Linked DNA regions of Cricetulus griseus. The protein of the gene in region 2 interacts with the protein of the main gene of each other region in a biochemical or structural test. Links are inferred from orthologs where the notes say so. Each region holds a gene or a part of one and is shown on either strand. Other genes may lie near its edges.

Region 1 (3,652 bases), on a different chromosome or scaffold from region 2:
TTCCTGCAGGGCAGGATCCTGGACTAGAGGTTCTCACTGCCTGGGGGGTGAGGGGGATCCCTTCCAGGTCCTTTGCTGCTTTCAGACCACCACATGTATGGGGAGGGAGTATCTTTCCACCCTCGAACCTTCTCGGTCTGAATGGTATCTAGCTGGTGGTTACTTCAGAAGCAACAGCTTCTGTCAATGCCAGGAACTGAGAAGCCCAGGCCTCCCTGTCTTGTCCCGAATGCCCCAGTCTTTCATCACTTACGAGTTTCATTACTTATTACTCAAGCCTTGACAGGGACCTCTTCACAAAGGTGATGAATGGGCCGGACTAGGGGATCTGTGAAAGCCCAAAGGTGAGGTGGGGAGTGGTAGTTTTGTGGTATTGGCCATAAAGGAGTAGACCTTCCTCAGAGGGCTCTGTTGCCTGATGCTAGGTCCTGACCCGCCTATCCAGGTACCAGGGTTCCCAAGGGACTGAGAAGGTGCACTGCACATATGGGGACATGGCCTGGGAAGCAATCCCAGGCTCTTGAAATATATTTGAGCAGAGACCCACTTGTAGGCCAGCTTTGGACAGCTTGGGAACCAAAGACAGGGAAGGCCAAGCCCTAGGAAGAGCCCTCAGTCCTGGGATGTCTAGATATAGGCTCACTGTGTAGGAGAGCCCTGCAGTTTTCACATTTGTGAGGAAGAAATGGGCATTGTTTTCCCAGAGCTAGTTGGGGATTCTGCTTCAAGAAGTGCCTGGGTCTCCTGGGAAATTCCCTGTGAACTAGGAACCAAGGCAGGGACCCCTCTCCCCAACAATACAGATTTATGGGGACATAGGCCAGAAAGGTTTTCTTGGTACCAGTAGAACAAACATCCAGTTCTATCTGAATGTGGCCTGTGATGGCTGAGTCCCTCCAGTTACCCCATCCCCCAGTGACTCATGCTGGTGGTGCCTGGTGCCGAGGCAGCCCAGAAAGGGCTGTGTGCCCCAGCAGTTGGTTGCCAGGCTGGTCATTAGGCCTGGCATCCTCATGTCAGCCCAGGAAGGGTTGGGAGTAGGAGACAAGAGCGCTTTTGACTTCTCAGGACAAACAGAGCAGCCCTGAGGGGCCTTAGAGCAACACACCCCCAAGGTCCTAGTAGAGAGGGAAAAGCTGTCATCTCCAGGCACCATTGGACTGTGAAGCCAAGCTGCTCAACTGCCCTGAATCTCCCAGTATGTCAAAGGTAGCTGGTAAGTACTGGGGCTGAGAGCACTGAAGGACTAGAACCCACCCTCTAAGACACAAGGCTTCTACTGAGATTCCATTACCTGCACCACAGGCAGTTCTACAAAGTTCTAGGATCCGCAGTGTCACTGTGGGACTCTAGCTCCTGTGTTGTGTCCTCGATCCAAGTGTAATGCCTCCGTGGCTTCCCCAGTCTCCTGAGAAGTAGGTGCAGTCTACAACATGGGGTTCCGTGCATTTCTCAAAGGGTAATTGGCTCAGCTCTCCCATTTGTTTGTAGAATGCCCCATGTGTTCAGGACTAGTGTAGTGTGAGACTCTTGTAGGCACCAGTAAAAACTCAGGGTGTGTGGAACAGTAGTATTTTCACATCTGGTTCCTCAGCCCAGCCACTAAGGGTCCACTTTGTGACTGTGTTGTCACTGGTGTAGCCTCACACTGCTGTCCACAGAATGCTTTATTGGGCCACTGCTAAAGGACATTTGGGTGCTTCTCAAGTTTGAATGACTGAAGAAAATCTGTACAATATTCACAAATGGGTTTAACATGAGCTTAAATCTTCATTTCTCCTGAAAGACTGGCTCAATGTCATTCCTCCTTAGCCTGCAGCGGTCAATTTCCCCCATTACCTCTGCTGTTCTCATGGGTGACTTGTCATGTGAGCTGTTTTCCCATCAGTGGGTTTTCTTTGGGGAGGTATCTGGTCCAAATACTTGGCCCATTTGAAATTTTCTTTTTTTTTCTTTAAAAAAATTATTTTGGCTTTTCAAGACAGGGTTTCCCTGTGTAGCTTTTGGAGCCTGTCCTGGAACTAGCACTTGTAGACCAGGCTGGTCTCGAACTCATAGAGATCCACCTGCCTCTGCCTCCCAAGTGCTGGGATTAAAGGCGTGCACCACCCCTGCCCGGCTGAAATTTTCTTGTTAAGTTGCATATTTCAGATACAAGCTCCTTTTCAAGTTAGTGTGTTCCAAGCATTTTTTTTTCAGCTCTGTGGTATTTATCTTCAGTGTCATTTGAAAGGACATGGATTTTAATATTCTGAAGTCCAGTTTGCCTGTTTTCTATTATTGAACATGATGATTTGGCATCATTTCTAAGAAAACCTTGCCCACCCTAAGGTCACCCAGGTTATCTAGATATGCTTGAGAAGGTTGACTCTGGAGTCCTGCTGTGGATCCTAGTTGGTTTATTTTGCAGAGGTAGCAGTTGTTCTAGTAATTTCTTGAAATAGTCCTTTCTCCTTGAGCTTGTTCAAGTTAGTCACCTGTGTGGGCTCCAGATACACTGATCTGTATGTCTGTCTCATACTGTCTCCTTCATGAGGCTTTGAAAGGTGTCTTAGACTAGTGTGGTCTCAGGCCTTCAACCTTTTTGTTTTCATAAACTCATCCTGGCTGCTCTGGAACCTATGCTGACGGACAGTCATAGAAGCCCCACTGGGATTTTGTCAGTCAACTGTTTGAAAGTCCTGAACTCGTAGCACTGCAGCTGGGGTCAGTGGCATGCCTGGCCATAAGAGGTAGCTTATCTCAGGCCATTGGACTAAAATGCCCCAGCAACATGCAGGACTTCACACTATGTCAAAACATCGAAAACTTCACTAATTTGAATTAGTTGGGGGTGAATGCCAAGTTGAAAATGGTTTAAAGTAAAATTACTATAAATAACTTCATAACTTTTTATGAAGGGAGGATTTTGTGAAATGACAGGGAATCTAGGATGCTCCCCCGTGGCAGGGTGCACATGGTGGGTGAGCATTGCAACTTCACGCCATCCTGCTGACCAGGCTGCTTGGCACTGTGCACTCATAGGACTCTGAGCAGGACAGGTGTTACAGCTCCTCCTAATCTTGCCTACTGTGATGACCATAGCCTTAGGCTCCTCCTGGGCCACTTCTAACCCTGGTTTAGGCCTGGGTTCCCTCCTGCTCCTTGACTGGCTAGGGTGTCCCCTGAAAAGATAAGAGGATCTTCTCTCCTGGTTTTCCCTCTGCCCTTGCACCCAGGAGAGACCACACTGCCGCTTGTGGAACAGACAGAAAAGTCCTGACACTCTGTAGTTCTTAAAGAATATGCTTCCTTCATTCTTTCCAGTCTGTTGGCAGTGGCTGGTGACTTTTGGCCATGGCCAGTGGGGATCACTGCAGAATGCAGGAAGGGATGGTATACATGTGGGGTTGGTCCTGGAGGACTGCATACTACCTGAGGACTCAAAAAGTTTGTCACCCACAGAGGGAAGTCCTGCAGGACCATCACTTTTGAGCAATTCCAGGAGGCGCTGGAGGAGCTGGCCAAGAAGCGGTTCAAGGATAAGAGCAGCGAGGAGGCTGTGCGTGAGGTGCACCGGCTCATTGAGGGACGATCACCAGTCATCTCTGGTGTCACGGTGAGGGGATGAAGCACTGGTGGGACTTAGTACTCTTGCTTGCATCTGCCCTTG
Region 2 (3,652 bases):
TCCAAAGCCACAGAGAAACCCTGTCTCGAAAAACCAAAAAATAAAAAAATAAAAATAAAAATAAAATTAACTAAATAAAAGATGTGTACCCTCTACTCCCCCAAAAAAGAGGTATTCTTTTTTTCCCTGGTATTTACAAAATCCAACCTAATGGGCCTGGATCTTTCCCCACAGTCCCTAAACTTGAGATCTATATCAGCAGACATCCTCTGTTTCCATTCTAGGGAAATGCTTTTTAGGAACACTGATCTACAAATAGCACAGCACAGTAATCTCATGGCCTGAAGACCAGCCCTTCAATTTAAGGTATAAATAGCCAAAAGAAGACATTTGAGGAAAAGCACCGATACAAAAAGAAGAACCAAGAAGATAATTCAGTTAGCCTCAGAATGAAGACACATAACAACATGGAATAGAAGAAAACTTAAGGCACTTCTAATTCTTTTGTTGTTATTGGTGTTTATTTTTTGAGACAGGGTTTCTCAGTGTAGCCTTGGCTGTCCTAGAACTCACTCTGTAGCCCAGGCTGGCCTCAAACTCACAGAGATCTGCTTGCCTCTGCCTCCTGAGTGTGGTACCACAGGCCAGCTCTAATACCTTTTTTTTTCTTTTTCTTTTTTTTTTCAAGACAGGGTTTCCCTGTGGCTTTGGAGGCTGTCCTGGAAATAGCTCTTGTAGACCAGGATGGTCTCCAACTCACAGAGATCCACCTGCTTCTGCCTCCCGAGTGCTGGGACTAAAGGTGTATGCCACCACTACCCGGCTAATTCTTATTCTATAAAAAACAAGCTTAGGAATGAAAGGGTATAAAAAAACGAGAGAGAAAGAAAATGCTTGTGCCTATCAAAAGCATGTCTAGCTAGAGAGGGTAGCATCATGTCTTAGCACTGGGCAGGCTGAGGGAGAAGGGTCTCAAGTTGGAGGCCAGCCTGAACTACAGAGAATAAGATCAAATCCAGCTTGAGTTACATACACAGTAAGACCCTGTCTCAAAAGAAAAACAAAATCAGAGTGCATAATTCAGCGGGAGGACTTACAAACAGAATTAAGGCCATCTCTCAGGACACTGAGTAAAAGTAAAAAGAGATAGAAAAACAGGAAATAAGCCTAACAGGAGGAGAGATGTCAGCAGTTAAGGGGATTTTTGCTATTCCAAGAGGACCTGCATTTGATTCTCAGCACACATGGCAGCTTACAATTGTCTGTAAAGCAAGTTCCAAGGAATCCAATGCCCTTTTTCGGCTTCCGAGGGTACTAGGCATGCACACAGTGCACACATACATGCAGGCAAGACAGTCATTTTTAAGGAGTAAAGATTTCTTTTTAAAAAGCCACACAGGGCTGGGGATGTAGCTCAGTTGGTAGAATGTTTGCCTAGCATGCATGAAACCCTAAGTTAGCTCTCTAGTGTCATATAAACCAGGTCTGATGGCACATGGTATAATCCCAGCACTTAGGAGGTAGAGGCAGGAGTTCAAAGTAAGAAAATGCAGACCATCCTTTAGGATTGAGGGTTCAGAGCAGGAAGTCAGAACTGAAAAGGCAGAGAAGGGAAATAAAAATTAAATTAAAACTATAAGAATAATCCTAGACAGTTACTTACTTGCCCTGGCCCTGGGGTGTCAAAGGGAAATACCTCCTGTCCCCACTTAACAATAGGTCATCCTGAGCTAGAGACCTGGTCTCAAAAGTCAAATCAAAACAAAACAAAATCCCATAAAGGATCAAGCCAGGAGGTTTAACATCTAATAGGAGCCTGAGAGAGAACAGAGAAAATAAAGTAATTATCAAAGATCTAATATAAGAACATGTGCAAAGATAGAAGGTGTAAGGCTGCCAATGTAAAATGTCAGCCCACTGCTAAAGAGAAGTTAACAGGACCTACAATTCCTGTGGGATAACATATGGGAAAAAGAGAAAAGTCTAAAGCTCTTCAGAGAGCAAAACAGATAACTCAGAAAGAAGTGAAAAAGACAATTGTCAGCACCAAATGCTGGAAAATAGTAAAGCAATGTTTAAAGAACAAAGCATCTAGATGGGACCAAGGGCCACAAGAGCACAAGCAGATTCTATGGAATCAGTTGGATGGAAGGCCAGAGAAAACAACTACTATTTACAATATAATACCCCTAGTGTCAAGGACTTAATCATTTTCTACAGAAAGGATAAACTGTCACCCTTCTGGAGTAAAGTTTGGTAGCATATATCAGACCTTAAAGCATGTGGATCTGTCGGACTCAGCAATCCACTATTAGAAATTCATTATACAGATATACCTAAAGATGTAAGTTAAATATTTATAATACTATTCATAGTAGAATTGTCTAAAATAGAAAAAACTAGGAAGTATCTTAAATGTCCCAGGATTAAATGACCAGAAGTACAACAATGCAATGAAATACTCTACAGTCTTTACAAGGAATAAGATGCTTTTGTAGCATCAACATAGTAAATGTGTTCCCAATAAAGTTGACAATGAGCATATGGAAATTATCCCATTGGTATTATGTTATTAATAATAGTGAATATTTGCATATGCATAAAAATCTACGAGGCTTAAACATAAACTGTCAAGTTATTTTGATTTTGTTTATGTGTGTGGGTATGTGCATGCTATGGTATGTATATGGAAGTCAGAGGACCACTTACAGGACTTGGTTCTCTGTCCTTCTACCATGTGGGTGCTGGGGATCAAACTCAGGTTGTCAGGCAAAGTACCTTTACCTGCTGAGCCATCTTGCCAGCCCCCTATTTAACTTTAAAGATAGTCTGAAGTACTGTCATAATTAAAAATAAACAACGTTTTAATTTGAGGTCCACTCCAGCTTGGGGGTAAATTGTTGGACAAGACCTCCGAATACTTCCAAGTCAAATCCCCCCTCTTTTTACTTCTCTGCATGACTTGTAACCTGTAAGGATCAGTTTCACCAACAGTAAAATGGGAACTCCACAGTTCCTGCTTCAGAGTAATTAGGGACAGCAGACAACCAGGAAGCAGTACGTTTCCTTGTTCCAGGCTAACTCAATGAACGTGAATGCCTTTCCCTCCTTCCTAACTCCTACGGCTGGACCTGACAGAAGTAGTTAGTAGTCTGGTATTTAGAGTGGGACTTGTGATATACCTGGGGTCCTGGTCGAAGATGAACTGTGTTCCTTGACCATGGTGCACATCCCAGTCCACGATAAGAACCCTGTGAGCAGGAGAGAGGGTAGCTCTGTGCAAGGGAATCAAGTGAAATATAGAGGAGCAGCCAGGACCTCAGTACCCCCATTCCATGCTACCCCTATCCCATCTGTCATTTGCTGCTGACCTCTGAATGCGGTGCTTCTTTTGAGCATAGCGGGCAGCCACAGCCACGTGGTTGAACATGCAATACCCATCCATAAGACTGTGCTGGGCATGGTGTCCTGGAGGCCTAATCAGGAAAGGGAAGGTTACAGATTTGGGAGTCTTCCTCCCATGCTCCCAATTCTTCCAGCATAGATTCTGTAAATCTGCCAGCAACTGAGGAACTGTGGCTTTTGAAGCTTCAACTCCCAATCCAATGTTCTTTCATCAAAGGAAATTTAAAAATAACCATTAAAATGTACATGTGCCAGGTGGTGGCGCACACCTTTAATCCCAGGACTCTGGAGGCAGAGGCAGGCAGAT

The links.
Region 1: the proteins of Hdac6 (region 2) and Tppp form a complex in vitro, tested with the Homo sapiens proteins (2 studies listed by BioGRID). The link is inferred for Cricetulus griseus from reciprocal best matches to the Homo sapiens genes HDAC6 and TPPP.

Annotation. Positions count from the first base shown.
Region 1 is NC_048595.1:368,690,252-368,693,903, forward strand, and holds part of Tppp (tubulin polymerization-promoting protein), read left to right. Parts: intron 1-3,444; coding exon 3,445-3,598; intron 3,599-3,652.
Region 2 is NC_048604.1:114,410,175-114,413,826, forward strand, and holds part of Hdac6 (histone deacetylase 6), read right to left. Parts: intron 3,417-3,652; coding exon 3,312-3,416; intron 3,192-3,311; coding exon 3,123-3,191; intron 1-3,122.